Linked DNA regions of Oryzias latipes. The protein of the gene in region 2 purifies or fractionates together with the protein of the main gene of each other region. This does not show direct contact. Links are inferred from orthologs where the notes say so. Each region holds a gene or a part of one and is shown on either strand. Other genes may lie near its edges.

Region 1 (8,305 bases), on a different chromosome or scaffold from region 2:
AAAAGAAATAGTTTCACCAGGATGTTGAATATCTTTGTCCACTCTGGATAGAGAGCAGCTGAGAAGTTTCTTTAAAAACACAAACCAAAGTTTTTGCTGTGGTAAAGCCCAGCTGAGTGAGAAGGGATGTAAAACCTGAGAAGGCCAGTTCTTCCACTTCACAGTACACACCAAAAAGTGTCGCAAATTTGCAAAGACGGATGAAGATGATCTGTATACTACACCTATAGGGTGTCTTTTCCACAAACTTATAGTTTCTCTCTCTATTTTTGTTGACAGCCCATTTTAATCAGTGTGGTTACCAAATAGACCATAAAAGATCCACAGGAGGAGGCACAGAACAGCAGGCGTGGATAAGACTTTTTTTTAAGTGTTGTTCATATTTGCTACGTGGAATCCAATCAAGGAGCAGTAAAAAAAAAAAAAAAAAAAAAAACGTCGCTCTTCACCGCACCGCGCTTCGGGTTTGAGCTCTTCCATGTTGCACACACGAGGACCAGGGAGATCATGATAAAAGAATTTGCATTAAAACAGAAGGTGAAATGAAGCGGACTGCAGCTAAAGCGTGGTGAAAAAAAACAACAACCTTGTGACCCCCCTCACGTCCTTCCACCAGCCCCACATTTCATTCGGACAGCCAAGAACGAAAGGAGCGAGATGGAGAGATGCAAAGAGAAGGAGGGGGTTAGATAGAGAGGAAAATACAGAGAAGGGGTGGGAGGGGGGGTCTTTGCCTATGCACTCCCCATTCTCTCTATTTTTGTTTCTTCTTTTTGTGCAGGCCCAGCACACACACTCGCAGTGCAGTGGATTTTCAACTTGGCCCTCATCAGTTGTGAGTCTGATGAAACAAACACTGACAGCCTCTTTACATTTGTAAAGGTCTCTGCAGCAGCTGGTTCGTCCCACACACACACCCACACACATACACACACACCCTTTGAGTCGGAGGCCTGGCCCCAGCTGGGGCCTACAGGAAGAGCCGACTCTGCACAAAATGGCCCTGCCCGCGCAGCGCTGCACTCGCCCTCTGCTCACACACTCAAAAGTGTGTGTCATGTTTCGTTAGACACAACAACACAGCCACGCATTAGAGCTTAATAGTCATTACACAATCTTTACCCCCCTTCAACCGCCGAAGAGCAGAAACAAAGGTGAGCCGATACCCTCCAAAAGGGACCGCCGGGGCGCCCAAGACCTGCTCACATCCTCGTTTGTGACCCTGGTGGAAAAACGATTACGGCCAAGCCCCGTTTGCTTTTATTAGGGGTCTCCTCCACCCCCATTTTAAATCATTTTATGACTGATGAATTTTAATATCAGTTGTCAACAATGCGTGCTTGTTGGGTACAGGAGGTGGGGGTGAATGGGGGGCAACAACTCACACTTATGTTTCAGGGGGGAAATGGTTGAGCCAAGCATGTCTAATTGTCTTACGCTAATTAGGGGGCCGTAAAGGAGGGGGAGGGGGTCACTAAGGGTCATGTCTCAAAGCCTGGAGGGTTTACAAGAGGACCAGAACTTCTCTGGGTTGTTGTAAAAAATAAAAATAAAATACTTTCTTAAAGGCTTATTTTGGTCTGGACCAGACGTAATGGATCAGCCGCAACTGCTGAAAACACATGACAGATGTGACACATGCATATATATTCAGAACTGAAATGTGTTTCCTGTGCTTAAGCTGCACAATTAGCCAACTTTAAGTCTCAACACTAGGCAAATTAGGACTTGACGCCAAAAGCTATACGTTTATTCCTAAAAAAAAAAAACATGAAAGTCCATGGCTCCATTCTAAACCAGGACTTTTATTTGATTGAGTCACTATTTCCACAACATCCTGCTTTCTCGGCCCAGAGTTACTAGAAAACAGCCCGATTGGGTGAAAAAATGTGAGCAGGCGAGGCCTCTTGTTGCAACATCACTACATGAAACTGCATGGTCAGAAAAAGATCACAGCTGAGTCAGTGCTATGACTAAAAGAAATGACTGCTCTGCTACTTTCACTGGCATTTCAAAAATCCCAGATATGGACCGTTTCCCATCAATAAAAGCAGGTAAACTGGCACCAACATGTTAGAAGTAAAATCATCATCAGTGGAATGCAGATAAGGATGCATTTGCATGAGTCGTCCTTGCTGGTAATTGAGACAAAATATACAACCAAGCTTCCTATTAGGAACCAATAAAACTAAAATACTCTGAAAAAAAATCTTTTTTTTGCATCTATGGATAAGAATTCAATTCGTTTTGGGGGGTTTTATTCGTGGATTTTAAACGCCCACATGGGGAACTATTTTCTTTATGAGCCACTCCGCGTGTCGTTTTGTTGAGGTCACTGCGGGGGGGGGGGGGGGGGGGTCTTTGAGTTCTGCTGACTTAATGGGGCTTTTTAAACAATACATGTTGTCCGTTTGGGTCAGCAATCATTACATCAGAAGTGCAATAAACTTCTCGTGTAAAGTCACGGACTCTGATCCGAAATTTCAAAAAATATATAATAATATATACGTGTATGAGTCATGCGGTGGGCTCGGGTTAAAACTAGCCGAACTACTTTTGAACCCCCAAAAAGGAGCATGGAGCAGCCCTTCCCATCAAACTCAGCGATACTCGGACAAAAAAGAAAATGGTCGCTACATACATAAGCCTCTGCAATGCGACTGAACACAGACTCTTAAAAAAAAAGGAGGGGAGTGGGAGAAGACTGGGTCATTTAGGAGCACCGCGTTCAAACAGGCCGACCGAGCGGCGTTCCGTTCGGCAGGAATTCAGCCGTTGAGGTCGATACCTAAAAGGTTGGCAAGCTAGCCTTAGTGCTGAAAAAAATGGAGTTGCCCCCTCACCGAGCGGCACCTTCACAGAGGTCACAGCTAAAATACCGGCAGCCTGTCGCCCGTCACCTGGTCGAGAGGGTAATAGGCTAAAAACATATATAAACCCCAAAAAGAAAGTAACCTTCGTCGTGTAACGTGATAGAAATTGGGTGAGAATGCGGATTCGCGTAACCCCCCTTCCCTTCTGCGCTGCCTCACTCTTTATGGAGGAAATTAAAGAGCCGCCACAGCATGCAGTCAGTCCCCCCCACCACCACCACCAAAAAACGACACCTATTTCACCCTAAACGTGAATTATATACACATTTAGAGATACGACAACGCCTCTGATTTGGCCGACCTAGTCCTCCAGCAGCTCGGTTACAAGCCGAGATGAAACGCTCAGCATGGGACGAAATGGAAGCCGAGCTATGGCCGACAGGCTCGTCTGCGCTGCTTCGAGTAGCAAGAAGCGAGGGGGTCGAACAAAAGCCCAGTTTTCTGAGACCCTCCGTCTGACCACGGCTCTCCATCCACGACCCCCAAAACACGACCCAGGAGACGCGTTGCCTCCCGCTGTCGCGCGTGAAAAAACCGAGTCGAAACGAGCGAAAAGCAGCCCGTGTTCAGATAGCATAAAACATGGGGGGGTGGGGGGGTATCGAAGAATAAACACGAGCTGCACCTTTAAATTCACGGCCAGATCCGCGCTGACACGCCGACAAAAGCTCACATTTAATGGAAACAACCCCACAAAGCTGCCTGACGGTAACCTTCACAGCCCGCGATGAAAGTTTGTGCATTTTCATCGAGGCGAGCCGAGCGAACTTGAATACAGGAGCTGCATTTAGGAGGAAAAAAAGAGGGTTTACTTACATATTTCTTTTGAATGATATTCCTCTTAGGTCTTTCCTTGCTCATTATGCAATCCCACCCAAAAAAAATGTTTGGCTATAGAGAGAATGGCCACATGAATTTCTTCTTTCTTTTGACTCTCGCCTCTCCCGGAGCTCTCCGCCAAATGACGATTTAAATCCCCGGCTCGGTCGGAAAAGCTCGCTGGCCGTAGGCTGCAGGAATCCTCCGGCGGTGTTCTCTCCTCGGAGAAGTCGGAGCTAAATCCCCACGATTCAAGAGTCGACGACGGACAGAGACGGACTGGACCCAAACTTACTTGGGGGTAACATAGTCAAAACAAATGCACAACAATAACTTCCATTCGCCCGAACAGCTCGGCCACTCTGCGCACCCGCTCGTCTCGAAAACATGCAGATAGCCGAGGTTAGGTCAGCAAGTCACATCCTGCCCGGTATGACATCGTGAGAAAGCAATAAATAAAAAGAGAAAAATAAAAAAACAAAACGTTAGGAATCGCGGTGTTTCTGGCTGGAGCCCGCAACCATCGACAGAGCTCTCCAGCGGCACTGCTCTGCTGACTGAGAGCAGCTCCTTTCTTCCCCGGCCTCCGCCTCTCCGCCTATCACGGAGGCGCACGAGCGCGGAGCGGCAACTTCAAAGTCCCGGAGAGACAGCCCTCGCGAGCTGGCCGCTTGTTTCGTTCCCCCGTGGGGCGTTTGTTAAAAAATGGGATGGAAAAAGGAGAATCCATCTCTATATGTAGTCTATTTCGTGTTTTGGTTTGAAAAATGTACCACAGCAAGTAAGGGAATGTGGGTATTTCTGCATAAGGGTGTTTTGTCTACAGCAAGCATGTCCAAAGTCCGACCCATAGGCCAAGTGCGGCCACCGGCCCACAGGCTTCTGTCACAAAATCAATATTATGCAGCCCCCAGCAATTCTGAGAACTACTTCTGAATTGTGACTGGCTAGAGCCAATGGAAGCTTAAGGATACAAACAACCAGTAGCTACATGGGCGGCCATGGTGCAGTGGTAGGGTGGTCGACCTTGGATAGCAGGTTTGATTCCCACCCATGTGTCCCACAACTGCATGTTCCTTACAATTGGGTTATCGTTTAGAAGGGAGACAAAGAGGCTTTTCAACAGTGTAACATTTAATTCCAAGCATTGCTGGAAAACATAACCCACCAAACACAATTTCCGCCCATGTGTCGTAGTGTCCTTGGGCAAGACACCGAACCCTACCTTGCCTCTGGTGCAAGGTTGGAGCCTATGGAGTTCAGTGTGTGAATGGGTGAATGAGTTTGTGACTGGAAAGTGCTTTGGGCCATCGAGGAAGGTAGAAAAGTGCTATACAAGCTTACGTAAATTTACATGACTTTCAGAACCTTAAAGCTCCACTCGGATCATCTTTTGGTCTATTGCATGATCGCTGCCTGTGGACTTTTGTTATGGTAATGCCGTTTTTAGCACCAAAAAAAAATGGAGCTATGTCCGAATTCTTCAATACTCACTATATACTGTGTTCGAGATTTTGTAGTGCTGTCCGAATCTACAATTCCAAAACCAATTGCCCTACAAACTTCCCAGAAGTCTCTGCCAGTGTGGATTAATGCTCACTGGATTGCAAATATAGACCACAATGCATTGCGTTTGAACACTGGTTTTTCACAGATACTTCTAGGAAGTTTCTGGGCCACTCGATCTTGAATAGTGAAGGAATTCAGACACAAAATTGTAAGGAAGTTCCGAATTCACATTTTACTGAAAATGTCAAAACAGAAACTGGCAAACAAATGTAGCGGTGGAATGGTAACCCTATTCGCTGGATACTAACGGGTCAAATCAATTTCAATCCGTTTTTATTTTTAATCTCTGCAATATAAGAAGTAGAAAAACCTCTTGAGGTGGAATGCTAATGCATAAGTACCAGCAATTGTGTTTGGTGGGTTATGTTTTACAGCAATGCTTGGAATTAAATGTTAAACTGTTGAAAAGCCTCTTTGTCTCTCTTCTAAACGATAACCCAATTGTAAGGAACATGCAGTTGTGGGATTAGCAGCCAAGATAAGTACGTGCATGAACAGTTTGCCAAATTTCTCCTTTTAAATGTGCACCATTTAAACAGAAGTTTAAAAATGTTTTCTAAATGGTTCCCGAGAAGCACTATGAACAGAGAAATTATCTACAACACACATGTTCCTACTTTTTGTGGTTCATTATGTTAAAATTAGTGATTCAAACAATGTATTGCATTTTTTCTAAAAAGCCAATTAACATGCACAGTAAAGATCATTATCTAAATTCTCTAATTATCAGATTTAAGCAAATAAATAGCATGATTATGATTTAAACAGCATTATCTCATAACCGTTATCTGATCATGTCTGTGTTCTGATTTAGAAAAATCTGAAAAATACACCAAGGTTTCTTGTGAAGAATCAAATCTTCTCCTGAAGGTTAACATATCTGATGAATTCTGTTTTTTCACATCTGAAAATGTGGAGGGAAAGGTAAAAATAATGATAACAAATGTCAGTGACGCATTTACAGCCACTTTGCCTGCAGTTCTAGATAGCTGTTGTTGAAAGAGAGAAACAAACAGGAAAAATAAACTATTTAAATGGGCAATAAACAAAAGAAGTGCCCACATTTGCATGCAAAGGAATCCCCCCCCCCACACACACAGACACACTAACATTGTATTCAAACAATCTCAAACGGTATAGTTAATTTATTAATTACAGAAACTTCTCATCTTGAAAACTTTATTTCTCTATATGAATGACATTTAAAAAAATAATTCTTACATTTACCTAAAAGGGGCCTTTAATTTTTGCATCATTTAGGTTAGTCTGATTTCATATTTTGTATCCTTAGAAGAAAAAACAAATGACACAATCATTACAATAACTGTTTGGTGGCTTGTCTGCTTGGGAGCCTTTATGGGACCAAAAGGTATAGAAAAAAATTAAAAAAAAAGAGTTCTCTGACTTCTACAAGTGCTTTCACCTTTTTTATACATCTAACTTACAGATTCACAATGCACTGTACCTTCTTTATTCCCATTTATTCACATTCACACTGGCAAATTTGAGTCACACCAGGATTCCTTTCATTTCGAATAGTCTTCATTTTGCAACCGGAAAACCTTTGTCATAGTTAAAACAAATGAACCTGGGTCAGCTTGAACTCTCAACTCACGTGTTGATAAGATTTTTGTGCGTTAGAAGTAGCAAGCAACAAGAGATCTCATGTGGAAATTTGAAAAAGTGTAAATAATGAAAAACATTCAAACATATCTGGTAGGAACACATGGTGTAGGGGGGGGGAGTTTATTAATTCAAGATAGAGGGCTAGATAAGCTTTTTTTTTTCTTGGTTTTATTTTAAAATTAAAGATTTTTTCTGCAACCCATTGACCATTTTGTTATTTTGTTTGCTCAATGGAGCAGTTATTGTGAAAGTAAACTAAACCAACTGAAGGTGTAAGAATTATTAGCATTCTCCACCCATTTCAACAAAACTCTACCTATGAGACAATTGTAGTAAAAAAGCAGCATTATTTTCTTGGTTCTCCTTTGGTTTCTGATTTGTGTTATTCATACCACCACTGAACCGCACTAAGGTTCAGTAACAAGCTTGTGAGTTCTGCTTCTTCACTCTCTTGTCGTGGACTGTTTTTTCAGTTTCTCTCAACACCACGATTATATCGTTGACTATCTCTAGTTTACTTTCTTGCTTTGGTTTCTCAACAAATAATCCAGGACCAGAACGCTTAAGTGTACGAGACCTCTCTTCTTTGTTCCCCTCCAGAGTTTATGTTAGCAATCACCCTTGCAAAAATCAAACCGTGGTGCTCGTCGTATCTGCTTGTTTGAACGACACCTTTAATTTACGTAATGTGTCCTTGCAGCAGTCATAAGGTAAACCGATCACTTTGCATTTTATAACACACACCATTGTGATTTGCAGTGGTCCCTCGCTATGTCGTGGTTCTCCTTTCGCGGTCCTCCTGTTTTGCAGAGTTTTATCAGTGCAATTTTGGATGCTCTTTGAACTGTGTTCTGCATCCTGATTTGGCTGTAGACCTTGTCAAACCATCTCCTCTGTACCATGTCTCCTGTAAAGAATGCATTCAGTTTGATGCATTTACGTAAATCTTTGATTGCGATCAGATCTGTCTTTTCCTTCAATAATACCAGATTTATTTTTGTACAAAGATTTGAACCTTGAGAGTTTAAACAAGAGACAAAAGTTTAATAATGTGAATCTCTGTCTGAAAAAAAGTGTATAAAATGTGCAGTGAAGGATTTTACAGGCTTAAAATAACTATAACCCTTTCATGAATTTCACCTATTGGGGGTTATTTCTAGAACATAACTCTTGCAATGAATTAGATAATTGTGACAGATTAACTGTTTTGTAGACAAAGTCCTTTTTATTGGCATTAGGTGAAACATAGAAATTTGCTAAATCATCTTATTTAGCGGTAAACCTGCAACATCTGCTGCAATCAGACGTTGTTTTACTGACCGTCCAAACTATGAGGGAAATCAAAGTTAACTACCCATCCTGTTTAATCCTTTTACAGTGGAGTTTGGCGTTCTTTAGACCACTGTAACCCTTCAACT
Region 2 (8,301 bases):
ATAAAATAATTTTAGTTTTTTTTTTTTACTTTTGCATATTAATGCAATTAATTCAATTCAATTCAATTTCAATTCAATTTTATTTGTATAGCCCAAAATCACAACAACAGTCGTCTCGATGGGCTTCGAAGTAAAACATGAAATCAAAAGGATCACGAATACAAAGAGTTCAATAGAAAAATACTAAAATGAACTAACAAACTGACTAAGCTATACTGGCATCCCTGCCCTTAGACCCCCCTTCGCGGTAAGGAAAAACTCCCAAAAAAAACGGATTCCGGAAAAAACGAAGAAACCTCAGGGGTGCCCACATGAAGGAGGGATCCTCCCCCAGGACGGACAGGCGATTTACCAGAAATCTTAGAGAAGAATTAACTTATCTAAATCTACAACTACATATATAAAAGTCCAGCAGACGAGCTTCATCCAGCCGTGGTTATCGGGACAGTCAAAGGCGCGAGTCGAGCCGGAGACAGGAACCACAGCCAGGTGTAGGAGCAGGAGCAGAGACGAGGTACTCGGTCAGGTACAGAGCAGAGACGAGCCAGAGATGAGCCAGAGGCTCATCTCTGGCTCGTCCTCAAAGTAATTATTTGAGGACGTTCTCAAAGTAATTATTTACTTTGAGAACTTTGCCTCTGAACAGCAACTAGACACTGTTTTTTAGACACTGCTTGACATGTTAAAAGTTAATACTCAATTAACTAAAACCAAATTAACCCATTATTTATTTGGTACTTTAGCATTTTTCCTTTTCACTAAAAGAGCCATAATGTAGGGATAAAGGAGTTGCATGTGGCTCCTGAGCCTCACGTGTCAGACCTCTGACCTAGAGATACATTATAATGGTAATTTCATCAATTTTTGTAAAAAAAAGAAAAAGAAAAAAGAGGATATTTTATGCTTTCTTAAGAAGAAGGGATGTTTTTTAAGTCTAGTTTTACCTGAAGAGGAAGTGCTTTCATGGTCACTGTCGCCCTCTTTGCTCTCCTCCGCAGATGCAGACGGTCCAGGACAACTTGAACTGGTAGCACGTTGCTGCCTCCGCCGCCGCCGAGACCTCTGTGATCTTCGCATATTCTGATCCACAAACTCTTTAGCCCCTTTCTGCATCAAAAAGAAGGAACCTTGTAAGCCACGAAACAAGGAACATTACTTAAACACAGAATGCATGAACTGACTATGCAGACACACCTGCAACAGGAAGCACTCCTCCCCACAGGGCTCTGTCTCCATGCGGATCTCCTTACTTTTCCTCTTGTAAACGTTAGGCGTAGCACGAAAAGCTTCACCAAGAGAGGCAGGACAATTATAAACTGGAAAACTATTACATCAAAAAAAATTGTGGCTACTCCAATCATAACATGTTTATCAGAAAAACTAGAAAAGACAAGAAAAGTCATTACGGTGGAGGAAACAGTCGTATTTGAAACACCGTCTGCAGAAGAGAGTGTGGAAGGAGTGTAAGGACTGCTCTCTCTGAACAGACTTTGCAAAAGGTCCATCTAAGTTAGGGGTGCACAGGGGGGGCAGTTTCACTTGACTGGAGGGCTCCAATAGGTCCTTGTACCTGTGGAGAGTGCACAGGAAAACTTTAGCGGTCCTACTAATTCTTCAGTGTCACTTTTAAGGTTTGTAAGCTCTTTCATATGCTGATGCAACTATTATTTTGAGCTGGAGAGCCTGAGACTGAGCCATTATTCTTCCTTTCCCTCCTGCCAGCTCATGTCTCCATGGTGAAGACTCAGCAAAAGACTGACCGGCCTCGTGCACGAACATCCCTGAAACTGAAAACACTTTTCTTACTTTTCCTTCAGCTCCTCTGTTGTGCCTTTGTAGGGGAACATCGAGGCGATGGCTGTAAATATTTTATCGCTGGGGATCCTCTTGCTGCCAGACAAATCTCTCACTTTTGGAGACACAGAGCGAAGACTGTTAAGCAAATCAACTGAACTCGAACTAACATCAGACTTTTACACAGTGTAGGATTTTCTATCTCTAAATCCCTAATCCCTGTACTTGAGAACTAGCAGCTGTTTGTATCCAAGTTCCCATACGTCCTGAAACAACAGGTCATTCAGTCCTGTAATAAAAGCCAACTAGACTCTGTCAAACACAGCATCCACATGTGAAAACAAGGGCACCTTTAAATCAACAATGCCAGCTCAGGAGCCGCTGTGGCAGGGTGACCTTGTGGTGGTTGTCGTGTCCTAAAATGAACAGTGTGAGGCTTGTTCATACCGTACAACGCAGAACTCACCCTCAGTCATGCTTCTTCTTTTCCTTCTGATGAACGCTCCAGACTTCGTCTCCTCTGAGCCTTCCACTAAGCTCCTTCTCATCATCCTCTCGTCATCTTTCTTCTCTGTAACGTCCACGGCTGTTGCTGCTGCTGCGGCTCCTTCCTCCTCCTCGTCTTCTTCATGGTCAGAATACTGGCTGAGGGCGTCCACCAGCTCTTTAAAGACCTCGTCACTGATAAAACCACCCTCTAGGACACAATCAGCATGTCATGACCTAAAAACTGACAACAACCTCTTTCGCGTTTTAAGATTTTACGAAAACAGCAGTTTCGGAACACAAACCTCTGTCACCATGGACACCATCATAGTTATCAATGAGCTCCTCCAGGAAAGCCTCGTCCTGTTCCAGTACCTCATCGCCCATGTAAGGGATGTTATGGAGGAACGTCTCATCCTCTACCTTCAGAAACACAAAAAAGGACGCAAGGCTCAGAGCTGTGTGTGAGTGTGTGCCAATGCCTCTTGTACAGGTTTCTCTCAAAAAAGAAATTTTATCTCAAGGGATTTCCTGGTAAAATAAAGTTTCAATCAAATCTGGATCAGCTAAAAGTTAATGAAAAATTGGATTGTAAATCCTCTCTCTCTCTCTCTCTATATATATATATATATATAAAACTTAAAGGAGATATTGAAAATAAAAAAAGTAAATTTATACTTTTAATATAAAAGAAAAGCACCTACACTATGAACCTAAAACTGTTACCAAATGATAAATGTTTGTTTATAATAGATGCTGTTTTGTGTTTTCAACTTTTGTTTTTTCGCTTCTCTCTGTCTTTGCTTTCAGTCCTCAATTCTTTTTATTAAGCCTTATTTGACATGGGGGTGGGGCTTTGAGCCCATTGGCTACCGGAGCATGATTGACATGTGGTGATAGAGATTCTGGTAACATAATTTCCACTACGAAACAGCGTCTGTTGATGGCGCGGCCGGTGTCATCTCTCCTCTAATGAAGCAGCTGTTACAAACAAATATTATTTTTCAGTTGCTTTTAGTTATATATTTCTTTTCATTCAAGTTTGAAACTTAAATTTTCAATATTGTATTGAGACTGCTCAGTTCTTCCCATTCTTTACATGTCAGTTGTCATGTTATTTTGTCCCAAAGATGACAATGATAGTGAAAAATGTCTTCATAATGTATAATTGCATGTGAAACAGCATCAAAAAATATTTGCCACTGTGTTAGAGGCCCTGTAAAAAATGATTTTCATGGGGCACAAAATCCCTAGCGGTGGCCCTCAGAAAAATGCCACATGAACGTGTTAAAAGCACCCAAAAGACAATTTTTGTTGGAGTGGGTGTTTAAGCTGATCCTTATTTGACCCCAATCAGAGAGTCATTGTTATCAAGGTAAGTTAAAATGACTGAAACTGCTCCCCAGTTATTGCACCACTCACATACCATGAAATTGTGCTGCAGGGGAGACCAGGAGTACATGAATGGGATCCCTGCCACTGTTGACAGTGGCCTCATGGCGATGGCTTGAGCTTTGAATCCTGGGAAACCAAACTCCACCGAACACATCTGAAAGAAAACCCAGAAAAACAGTCATTTTGGAGAACCTAGAGCAATATTCCTCATATATGGGCAGTTTCTAAACATCATCACCTTCTTATTAGCCAGTGCTACATTAGACACAGACAGCGGGATGGACTGAATCTTAAGCGTGGACCACTCTGAGTTAAGGACAGTAGTCTGCTGCTCAATCTTCTCCCGGTTGGATGAGAACAGGGTCTATAAAAACAGTAGAAATCCAAACACAGGTTTGAGTGAATGAGAAACAGGGACAAAGTACTTTATTAGTATTCAAATGGAAGATGCTGACACAACTCTAAATCTACCTTGACCTCGTCTGCTTTTTTAAGGCGTTTTAATTGGCGCAGGCGCATATACTCTGACTTGACCCTCCGCCTCCACTCCAGCAGGCTGCGGGACGGGGCAAAAGTGCAGGGCGGAGGCCTTGGCTGAGATGGGGCAACACTGGTACCAGGGGCAGGATGTGCTGTTTCCTCCATGACTGCAGGACAAACTCTGGCAAAACAAATGAGTCAAAGGTCAACTCACAATTCTGCCATAAAGAATGTGTTAAAGCAAACTGTTACCAGCTTCTTATAAAAAATATTTTTATGTATTTTTCCATTTTAGCTCATTTTTATAAATATTCCTCCATCTTCAAAGCCTGAAGGCGGTTTTAAAAAAAACAGAACACTTGCACTTTCCCATAAGCCACTGCTGCAGGTTTTTGCAAAACAGCGCCCCCCTCTGTTCGCAAAACAAAATTGCCATCTACTGGTAAAAAGCCCTTTTGAAGGGTGCTTTAAAATCTCAAGGTTACCCCATGATTATAGCCATACTTGGGGTAAAATAATAATAGTGAAACACGCGGAAAAAAGCCAACAGTCCAGGCATGCGTGCAAGCACGAAGTCCGTGGTTTTTTAGCCCACATTTCTAAAGAGTGGGCGTGCCTCGGCGGAGCAGAAAAGTGCGTAGCGCTGTTTTTTAGTGTTTCATAACCGCCTGCAAACATTTTCCCCAAAGATACAAGCTGAACACAGTGACAGATGAATAGCATATGAAAATGGAGCTCAGAAATTGTCGCCGTGGGTCTGATTTTCACGCGTAAACACGTTTCCACCACAGATACGCAGCGGGGCTTCGTCCTGAGGGTGCAGCCACAGCACCGTGGCGCACTACCGTGTCCATTTAAACCCAGAACACTTTTAAGACTTGCGCACTGACTCCTCTACAATGAAGGTTTTCCTGCACACGCGCGTGTGTGCGTCCAGATCCCCACGTCCAGTGTCGCAGTCACACACCTTTAAAATCCACGTCCGATTTTGGTGCAACGCGATCAAATCCCGGCGTTGGGAAGAAAAAAAAAAAGAAGGAAAAAAAATCGTTTGTGCTATGGATTAGACGAAAATATCGAGTCCAGAAGGCGAGAGGATCTCCGTGAAAGCAGCACGTTATCCAAACGCATGGTGCTGGAGGTTGTTGTTGGAGCGTACAAATAGCTGCGCACTTTGGTTGAACCAACCCGAGCACGAGGGTGACGTCTTTACTGCGACCAGAGCGCTTCCAAGCGGAGCTGGGATTTATGTCTATTCTGCGCCCTAGGAATAAAAAGTAGCGTGGAGCAGCAACGGCACAGCCATTACGCACACGCACAGGAACTGATGCAACTGCTTGAAGTACCATCTGAATGAATGACCCCTCTTCTTTGACCAAGGTGAAAAATAGAAAAACTAAAATGGAAATACAGCATCTATTTCAGTATCTACAATTAAGCAATTAAAAAAGGTCAAAGTGTAATTTATAGGGCTGTGTGGCTATAATAGAAATAACAATCGATCAAAAAACAAAAAAAAAAAAATGCAAAAACTGTTTTAACCAAATATAAATAGTCTTTCTTTCATTTCAGAATACAAATATCTGTAAGTGAGAGTTTCAGGTAAGACTTAATTGGTAACCAGCCTCCAGTTTTCTAACATTCCTTTGGACCTGTCTAAATATTTAGCTGCTGTTTTACATTTCTCCGGCAGGGGGAGCCCAATCTTATTATATTTAATGACCTGTTTATTTTTCTTTTTCTAAAATTGTCTCAAATACCTTATATACTCTACGAGTAAAATGGCGTGGTATAGTTTAATTAAATCACATTTCCAACAGTCAAAAATAATAACAGGTCTAACGTTTTGTTGCAGTGCTTGGATCTATTTCATTTGTAAATGTTTATGATTTGATTTTCAACAAAAGACTCCTGTCATAGCATGTAAAGGTTTTAATGTTTGAAGCCAAACTAATGCACATCGTTTATTCAACCTTACATACATTAAAAATCAGAATTTCAACCAAAAACACATCATCATATCTTGTTCCAGGATTTTATCACTTCTGTGGAGGTTTTTATAAATTATAAATAATCTCTGTGCATTTATTTTATTTTCTTCATTTTGGGAGATAAAAGTTCATAAACGTCCGAATTTTGAGACAATACTTCTATGAGACACAAGATGGCACTCTTCTGCTGCCAGTCATGGAATAATTTTACTTTTCTAACTCCTCATGCATTAAGACAACAATTTTTAACATCACATAACACATTGTGTTTCTTTTCTCTGCTCTGAACTGTTACACCACACCCGCTTGGGGTATTATTTATGCTTTTGGTTTGTGAAAGTGGTCATATTTCAGTCAACAAAGCACGCTTGGCAATTTAGAAGCAGTGTAGGCCGTTGCTAGCAACATGCTGATAATGAACTGTCAAAAGACAACAAACTGAATTTAGGAAGTGAAGACATTATCAGTTTTTAAAACTTGTGATGTTGTTGATTTTTGAACTTTCTATTGCAACTGGTTTCTTCAGATTTGGAACAAGACATTTCTAGTATCTGGAGCAAAAACTTGGTGAGGAAAAGGTTTCTAAAGCAGCTGATAAAAACTACAACTAAAGCAATTTAAAAAATAAATTAAAGTTACCTTTTAAAGCAAATGAAATACAAGCCAAGAAAGTAAGTCAGATTTTCTTTTTTTACCTTTCTAAGGAGCACATTTAAAACACATGTTCTTTGTAGACAAATGCATGGATCTGAACTTTGCAAGGATTTCAAGAACTTGTTGCAGAAAAAAAATGAAATTTCCTACACTCAGTGAAGTGAAATGTGGAAACAATTTTGGCTTCTGCTGTCTGGATATTTTCCAAGCGCAGCAGCTGAGACAGAAGACTCATCCTTCAATGACGTAAGCAGGCTCTTCAGTTTCAAACAGGGTGTCCCTGCCACCTCTGTGTACCACAAGACCTCAACCTGACGTCAAAACATCCAGGGTGGGAAGAAAAGGGGTGCTTGTCACCATTCCAGATGATGTTCCATGGCGTGAAAGGAAATAGTACATTCTGTGCACAACACACATACATTGAGGATTTCTGTCTTTAAGGTAAAAAAATTTAGACCCTAAATCCTTCTGTACATTCAGTTCTTTTGTTTGGATGTTTTTTGGGACATTAATGTTAAAAAAAAAATCTTAAAATCTCAAGTTTCTCAGAAGATGCTTTTTAGTTCTTTTAAAACAAAAAAGAATGAAACATTTGTAAAGAGAAACTGATGGTGGTGTACAATGGGCTACAGCAGCTCCAACACTATCAGACTCCTTTTCACCATTTGGTGAATCCGCCCATACTAGGAAATGAGGGCTTCCTGTTGTTTTATAGAGCCTTCCTGCAGAAAGGTTGAGATACATTACCCTTACTCACCAGGGAAGATGAACACAGCGTTGTCAGACAAAATGACACTCACCAGATTCTCTCCTGTGCTTTCTGGGTGTTTCATAATACTTCTCATGTGTGGTAAGTAGATGATTTCTCTGACCCATGTCTTGCCTTTTCCTTAATTCTTAAACTTTTCTCTATAGATGAGCGCTTGAAACCCTTTTTTTAATTGAATATTTGTACAAAAGGTAGAAGAAAATGTTGTTTTTTGAGGGGTTCACTTTGATGCAAATTAAATATGAAAAAAGAAGACACCTTTTTATGATTCCTGATGGAATTACAGACACTAAAAATGTCATTACAACTGTTAATATTTTTGTTGAGGTGGAAAAAGGTTTTTTAGAAATGTTTGTCTTAGGTGTTTTTTCTTTGTGTGCTTGGAGACAAAGAAAGGATGCAGTGAATTTTTGGACTTCCTTAACCTTTTCTAGTTTTACACCATGTGTTAACCCCTCAAACTAAACTATTATTGAGAGTTTAGTTCACTTTGAGTGTTGTTAGATGACTCTGTAGAATATTTTCTTATAATTGCTCATATTCTCATTGTTTTTTTCTGAAGGACACAGAACTGTGCTTTGTCTGCCTAACGACGATGCAGGGCTGCAACCCAACGTAACAGCAAGTGAGGTTTTTTATTCCAAGACAGCAGAAGCAATAATTTCCTTTTTCTTTAATATTCTTGAACAGAAATTGTGCAAATCAGAGAGTGTCAAACTTTTTTAGCACCTG
Region 3 (7,947 bases), on a different chromosome or scaffold from region 2:
ACAGGACCTGCTTCATGGCACACAGAGCTTTGGCTATCGGCCCCTTCTTCAGAGCGCCCCCTTTCTGCGAGGACGACAGGGAACGGGTCAGGGACAACGGAGAGGGGGATTGTGGGAACATGCTGATGCAGCACTGGGAAGAGGCGTTACCCGAACAGCCAGAGCAAAGACGCAACGTCTGCAGAACCAAGGGCTCAGGCTGCTGCCCTCTACTGGAGGAATGTGACACAGCTGGTGGAAGCCTGGCAAACACAGAGACAGGCGATTTTATGACCAGGTTAACTGGATCAACATGGGATCATGTGATACTACTCCCCAAAGTGAAGCCAACACAAGACGTTTCTCAAATGACTACCAGGTCTATTAAAGCAAGCAATTTCCCACTGACTCCCATGTCAGCATGAATGATGTGAAGCAGGTAAACCAGAGCATCGCCTCCTTCAGGTGTGTTCACCTGCACAGACTCGCACTGATGTTGTGGGCTGGCGCAGAGACCTACACTAACTTTAGGATTTGGCGAGAGCGCCCACCGAACACGTCGCCCCCTTCTACAGATGTGAAGGTGTGAACTCAGACAACGCCATGCTCACCGATGCCGCACTTCCCACAAATCAGGATTTGGTTGTTGACCTTAGGCTGGCCGTCAGAGTCTGGCTCCGCCCTGCGACACACAGAGCAGCGAGGCTCCTCCCCTGGCACTCCAGCTGAAACGTGATCAGGCAGAAGCACGTGACATAACAACTCAGGGCATCACACATGTCAGCATGAAGGATCTTCTCCTGTCTGTGACTGATTAAAAACGGAAAGAGAAGCTCCACGAGGAACTTGATGTTTCCTTGGCAACCATCTTCTAGGACACCTGAAAACGACTGACGTCCTCACACCCTGCTGGAGCAGAGATTCATTTGAAAGCTTAAACAGTGTGTATCGATTACAGAAATATTCAAACTGATGGCTGCTCCAGCAACAGACAGTTAAGTGAGCGTTCAGGAATGCTTCAACAGTTGATGTCAGGACTGAAAGCTAGTTCCATCTGAACTAAAGTACGGTGGCCCTGAAGTCGACGAATCGCGTCATCCAATCCACGCAAACACATTTTAAAGATCGCAACCACAATTAAAAAGAAAATAATAATAATTTTAACTGTGTTACATTTTGAAAATCTAAACATAATTTCAGAAACCAAAACACAAATAAAAAACAAAAACAAAAGGAAGCATTCAAAATGACTTTTACTGGTATGTTTGTTTAACCAGCCCTGTTAGTGCTGTTACTGCCGTGTTACTGCAGTGTTACAGTCACTGTTTGGAAGCAAAGCTCAAGTATGTTATTAAAAGTTTGAAAACTCTTCCTGTGTACCATCTTTCTTTGGAAATATATCACGTGCTGAAACTTTCCAGCATTACTTTTTTTCTTTCTGACGGTGGTCTGAAAATGCAGGGAGATCCTCTCCGCTGAAGGCGGATCTTCCTTCGGGGTTCACTTCCCTGTTCGGACCTTCAGAGCCTCCAGAGCGGGTTAATAAAGAATCATTCACCATTCTTCTGGAGGGGAATCTTCTGTTATTACAGTTTTCCTTCACTCTGTATATCAAACATGAACGCACACCCCCAACACACTTCTGCTGCACGCGCTCCCCCCTCTTTCTTACACACGCGTGTGGTTTCAGCACACAAACATCCTCATTCTACAACACATGTTTCAATGTGGCCACATGCGGCTTATAGACAGGTGTGGCTTATGTATGTACAAAATGTTCTATCCTTTAAAAATGTAATGGTGCTTATAACCAGGTGCGCTCTATAGTCCAGAAATTAAGGTATACAGGTGTTGTAGAATGAGTGTGTGTGTGTGTGTCAGCGCGCTGCGTGTGTAAGAGGAAGGAGCGGAGCAGCAAAAGAGTGAGTGAGAGTGCACAAGCGTGTTGGGGGTGTGCGCGCGTTCATGCTTGGTGTTAGGAGTGAAGGAGAACAGTAATGAAAGGTTTCCCCCAGAAGAACGGTGACTGATTCTTTATTAACCTGCTCTGGAGTACAGCTGTGACAGTGAGGGATTTTGATCACCGCCGTGATGAAGCAGCAGGAGTCGCGGTGTCGGGACTCTTGCTTCCCCTCCCCTACACACACACACACACACACACACACACAATCCTCTGGCAGGCGGTCGTGACGCACACTACTCAAGAACGCACGCAGCTTGTAATGGAAATGAATACAATAGAAATTCCCCCAGAAGCTCTTGAAGTTTGAACACAGGACTCACAGAAAAAACAAATTATCAGCAAAGATGAATGTGTTTATTATAGTTCAAATCCCGCACCATATGCAGAGCTTTCAAAAAAAAAAACAACAAGGTGATGAGATGATCACGGTGATAATCTCATTACCGTGGTGATGCGGTTATCGTCACAGCCCTAACGGAAACGCGGCGAGGGAGAAACTGGATAAGGTATGTACTATGGGATATCGCTGATTGGATTTGTCTGTCTGTTCAACCCAAAGTTATTTAGCATAGAGCGATTCTGGATATGCTCCATACTAATCATAAAAGCGTGGGGCCATTGAAGGCACGTTTGAAAAAATAAATCAATCAGTGACGTCCCAGAGTTCCTACGCTTAAGCTTAATGTGTTTCATTTGTCTAACATTTTATCTCGTTTCTGGAAATGACTTTGGTTTTTCTAAAAGGTTTTTTATTTTTTACGTTTCTGAAATTTAGTTTTATTTTCTCAAATGTAATGCTGTTTTTTAATATTTGTTTTGCTATGGTTATTGTTGTGATTTTGACATTTTTTGTGTGGAGTGAGGTGATCTGCCCTTCAGGGCCACCGTACTAAAGACTCACTCAGTTGAAAAACTGTATTTTTGGCTCCTTTAAGATTTTCTTGGAGCATTTTTATCTGATGATGGATGACATTTATAAAGAAAATTGAGCCCAAAATTGCACTTTTGAATTTTATTTTTCCTTTCACATCACTGTGAACCAGAAGAAGAAAAAAATGCAGCCCTCCCTGTTGGACAGCAACAGGGAGGGAGGGGAAGGGGGGCGGGGCTGCTCTGCACCAACAGTCACAGTTAAGACGTGTACCGGTAGTTTTAATGATTTCCTGCCGCTCTGCAGAAACTATGTCTTAGAAAACGTCGATTTTGGCTAAAAACAGCAGCAGCATCAGCATTAAAAGACCACTGCAAACGCTTTAGAAATAAATCAGAAAATGATCTCTAAATGTGGCGGCGCTAATGAAAACATCCTTCAGTCACACAGAGAGCATCTAGAGGCTGCTTCAAGCATTTGGTGAGCCCGCCTGACTCACCATGCTGGATGTCCTTCAAGAGGACCCAGAACTTGGAGTTGTCCTCAAATGTGACGAAGCAGCTCTGTCTGGGGGGGCTCACCTGTCAGAAGGTAAAAAGCTTAAAGCAGCCAATAAGAACAGAAGAGTCCCCGCGTTCACGGACAGGTGAGTCTGCAGCCAAACCTTACCCTCTGTATCTTTCCTAGGTAGTACAGTCCGTCTGACCAATGGCAAAGCACAAACTGCCCCACACTCAGACTGGACTCTGCCCCCTCCACCTCTGCCAATGTCCCACTATGGCTCCCCTCGCCCCCAGGAGACACCTGAGGCTCCAGACCGCAGAAAGCTTCGATCAAGTCCTCAAACATCCTGCAAAGAGATGGATGGAGAGACAGAGGGAGAGAGACGCTGGTTTAGAACAGAGAGAGAGAGAGAGACAGGCCGTTAGTGGCTGTGATTCATTCCTGAACTGTTTGTGCGGTTTTGACACCACAGAGCATGCGCACTGCATCCTCCCATCTAATTTCCTTACCTGACCTACAACCGCATAAACTACCGCACCCTGACATCCGTGACAGCTCACACTAACGGAAAACTCCCGAAGCATGCTGGCGGGTCATGCATCACTAAATGTTTAAAACGTTTTGGTACCAGCACCGGTTCTGCATATATAAATGCACGCTGACGCCAGACAGTTCCCCTGCAGGCTGAGCCGGGCGGGCCAGACCTGCTGAAGGACGCAGGGCATCTTCTCACCTCTTCTCTGGCGGATCCAATCACGCCCTTCTCAGTCCTTTGGAGCTCGGAGCCCGATTCGGCCCGGTAACAGCCCGACGGACGGACGAACGGGGATACCGAACCTCTGGCGCGGCAGCAGTGTCCCGCCGTCCCTCGTTTTCTGTGCCTCTCCTCTCCCTCTGCCTCCGTTTGGCGGCTCCGAGCTTCAAACTCTCGCCGGCGCCATTTTTTTCATTTTCCCGCGAATCAGAGGATGGGTTTTTTTTCTACCAGCGTCGTGTGCGTGATGACGTCATGACGCTGCTGCGCGGCTGCAGCCGGAGCCCCTTTCAACGTTTCACTGATTTTAATATCGAGGTGAGCGCCGTTGTGAGTCTAGGAAGAGGCTGCGCGAGCACAAGTTTTATTTAAGGAATAGATGTATAATTTCAAGAACTCAAAGAAGCAGATCCGCCAATATTTAATTGGCAGCAGTCATACTGTCCAGGTTTATACCTTAAGAGCCCCCCCTCTCTCTGTCGCGCCTGCGCATACATGATGCTGGAACGAGTTTGATCAAAATGTTTGTTATTGCAGAAAAAGAACAGGGGGGTATTCCAGAGAGCAGGTTCTGCTAGCTCCCACGGTAAGTTTGAGGCTAAGGAAGTGGATAACCTCAGCTTTCGGTTCCAGAAATGGAGGTATGTTTCAGGGTATGTCAAGTTGCCATGGCAACTCATGCTCTGAACATAACCTGGTCTGGAGCAGGTTTAGTTGAAGGTTAGTTTGTTTTCAGAGAGGTGAAGCAGCATGGCGTGTCCATTTGAAGATGATTTAGTGGATGAAGAAGCTCAGATAATACTTTTTCCACCATGAGAGGGTGATAAGACCACATATGGATGTTGGAAAGAGAAACTTTTTTACTTTGATCTAACTTAATTATTTGCTTCAGTTAAGATAATTAAAAATCGTTTTATTTGTTAAGTCAGTTTAAAAATAACACGTAGTTTTCAGACAGTTATTTTACTTTCATTCAAATTAATTCAATGAAGTAGGTGTAACTTTGGTGCTGCTGTTAGATCGGCACTGCAAGGGATTGTGGGATACCATTCCCTTTGCCTGTCTGGACGGATTTGGGTTTAAGTGTGGGTTTTTGACCAAATGTGTTTAGTTGTTTTGCTGTTTTACTGTGTTTTACCCTGTTTTGCCGAGTTATTTTGACCTACTTTGCACAGGTCTCTGCACCATGAGGGAGAGGGAGGGAGAGGATGATGAGTTTATATAGCTCCCCTACAGTCAGCTGGTATATTAATAATGTTGGAAAATTTCTAAATGAATGAAAGCTTGCAGGTTATACTGTTTTGTTCTTTTTATTGTTATAAAAATGAAGATCTGCCGGCTCAAATTTAGACATATGAGAGTTCAAGAATTTTAATTCATTACGAAGGAAAAAAAAATTACTTTAATTAGAGTAATATGACATTTAGTTAAATAAATATGTAAATTTGAGTTGTATTAACAACTATTGAGTTTTATAGACGTAAGAAATTAGGTTGAATAAATTTAACTCAATTACTTGTTACCAATAGAAGTAGGCCTGCACAATATACCGCAAATTTATCGTTATCGCAATTTCTAGCTGTGCAATATGCATATCGCAAAAGACAGCAAATTTGCAATAAATGGTTACCTTAGATGTGGCCAAACAATCTTATGGCAGCTTGAAGTGTTTAATGGATCGAAAGAATCCCTTTCTGCATTTGACCAATCAGATGGACCCCTTCACGTTAACTAATCGGATGGCGCCCTATTATGTTGTATGTTCGCCTCCTATGTCAACAAGGGTCATTTCTAGTATAATTTTTAAGCTGTTGTAATGGAATGGGAATCATATTTTTGGTTGTTTTGCTAATTGTTTATATACCGCAAATTATATCGTTATCGCAATATTAATTACTAATATATATATATATGCGTCACATGAAAATGGAAATAAGATCAGAAACTCGTCCGTTTACTTTGTCTGTTCTTCTACTACAACAAGCAGAAACTTTTTCTTTTGCTGATGATGCAGCCGTGTTACTTTTTTGATGGACGTATATTCTTCCTACGCCGTCATTAAAATCTCAGACTCCGTCTCACTGAAGTATAGCGCTCTCTTTTTTTTCACCACGCGTTTCCATGGTGACTCCGGAAATCGGCGATCCATTGAGAATGTCTTTATGTACATGCGGCGCACCTGCATTAACCCAGGGTTACCAAGTCGAGTGTAATTATGCCAACTCATATCCGGTCTTTTGGAACCGAGATACCCAGAGTAAGCAAGTTCAGGCGGATTTCAGCCAGAGTTCAGGGTTAAAGTCAGGCTAGTTTAAACATGCTTCCTGGAATACCCCCCTGGTGGATTTGTGTTATTGTAAAAATGTTTGGTCATTCTTAGTCTAATGGTGAACAACACATCAATGACCCCATGAGATGTTTTCTATAAACGTTAAAGGACCTATAGTAACGCAAAATCAATGTTTTTAACCATTAAGTGTACAATAAGGTAAATTCCTAATGAGAAGAAACTCCAAAGTGGTATTTTGATCCACTCATGCATCGAAGTTTTCCTCTAAAACCCTGCTCTCTTGGCACCAGCCCCTCCCAATCTATGAGGGGGTCTTTACATTGTGACATCACAAATTGGGGAATCGTCCCTTTCAGGGAGAGCTGGCAGCTCCGCCCCCAGGATAATACACACACACATTTTCTCCATGGAGCTAGTGGTGATCGGCTAAACGTTTTCAATTCATATGAACGATACACACATCCATGTTTGCAAAAGTTTGGATGTTTGTTTTAGTGGGAGAAGTGCAGACACGCTGCTGAGGGTGACATCATGAAATGGGCGGCACCCACAAGGAGAGAAAGGCGGAGCCTCAGTGATCGAGTCATATTACTTTCGGGTAAGAAAATGAGCTGCGAATATAACTAATTTCAGCAAACAATGATTCTTTAGTGTGTCAAAGGTTATGTATTATAATATATATTTATATAGGCTTAAGAAAAGCATTATATAGGGCCTTAAATGAATCCAAATTAATTTCCTAATCCTCTGGCTCCTCCCTACTGCTCCAATTAAAGCGGCGTTTGGAGCTTTAGTGGTGTCCGAACCTGTTTTTTTTTTTTAAGGCGGAGCCATTGCAGTACAGGGCTGGGCATCCCTCCATTGGTAGGGTGATTGCAGTTCTTCATGTGCGTGTGCTCTGAAGCAAAGAAGCTAGCATTTAAATGCAAGCAATGACTTTTGAATTTTTTCGAGCGCTGGCAGATACACCCTAACGTGGATGACTGGTGACTATTCATGACGTCATTGAGTGGTGGTAACGTCTAGAAAAGAAACTATTTTTCTATAACTTTCCGCTCTGAGGGCTAAATGTAGGGATCGGGAGAAGCCGTAGGGGTAGGGAACCAATTCGGATAAGGCGCTACTCTATGGTACAAAGGTAGAGTGGACAGCCTCTGATCATTGGATCATAAGTCAGGCTCGTGCTCTGCTTGCTGTTTTGTGTTGATGTGCCTTTGAGCAACACTTTGAACCCAACAGTGCTGCTCCGCTGGGATTGAATGTGTGTGTGTGAAAGGGTAAGGAAGAGTGAATTGCGCTTTAAGGCTTGAAGGAGTTGGAAAATGTCCACCAGCTATTACAAAAAGCACAAATGTTTGACCTCCTTTATTACTTATTAAGACATTCCTCCAGAAACTGTGACTTTTATTTTGCAAAGCTCTTATTACCTGCATTAAAGGTTTCAGTCCCATGGAGACAGCAGCCTGTTCATCAATTGTATCATTAACATGTATGTGTTCTTATGCATGCATGAAATGGATAGGAGAGGTATTTGACCTGTTGTAAGTTTATGCCAAGTGGCTTCTTTGGAGGGAAACAAAACTTGC

Evidence for each region. The genes of interacting proteins can lie anywhere in the genome.
Region 1: the proteins of ezh1 (region 2) and jarid2 purify together in Homo sapiens (affinity purification with mass spectrometry; 4 studies listed by BioGRID and IntAct, with this or other methods). This does not show direct contact. The link is inferred for Oryzias latipes from reciprocal best matches to the Homo sapiens genes EZH1 and JARID2.
Region 3: the proteins of ezh1 (region 2) and phf19 purify together in Homo sapiens (affinity purification with mass spectrometry; 4 studies listed by BioGRID and IntAct, counting the BioPlex papers as one, with this or other methods). This does not show direct contact. The link is inferred for Oryzias latipes from reciprocal best matches to the Homo sapiens genes EZH1 and PHF19.

Annotation. Positions count from the first base shown.
Region 1 is NC_019869.2:23,830,446-23,838,750, forward strand, and holds the start of jarid2 (protein Jumonji), read right to left. Parts: upstream 4,266-8,305; 5' UTR 3,735-4,265; coding exon 3,690-3,734; intron 1-3,689.
Region 2 is NC_019866.2:6,664,532-6,672,832, reverse strand, and holds the start of ezh1 (histone-lysine N-methyltransferase EZH1), read right to left. Parts: upstream 5,458-8,301; 5' UTR 5,123-5,457; intron 4,337-5,122; 5' UTR 4,321-4,336; coding exon 4,153-4,320; coding exon of another isoform or gene 4,147-4,152; intron 4,040-4,146; coding exon 3,914-4,039; intron 3,830-3,913; coding exon 3,707-3,829; intron 2,704-3,706; coding exon 2,586-2,703; intron 2,492-2,585; coding exon 2,261-2,491; intron 1,910-2,260; coding exon 1,807-1,909; intron 1,571-1,806; coding exon 1,407-1,570; intron 1,287-1,406; coding exon 1,195-1,286; intron 1,108-1,194; coding exon 945-1,107; intron 1-944.
Region 3 is NC_019867.2:31,488,348-31,496,294, reverse strand, and holds the start of phf19 (PHD finger protein 19), read right to left. Parts: upstream 4,266-7,947; 5' UTR 4,051-4,265; intron 3,664-4,050; 5' UTR 3,663-3,663; coding exon 3,483-3,662; intron 3,395-3,482; coding exon 3,313-3,394; intron 705-3,312; coding exon 591-704; intron 243-590; coding exon 151-242; intron 65-150; coding exon 1-64.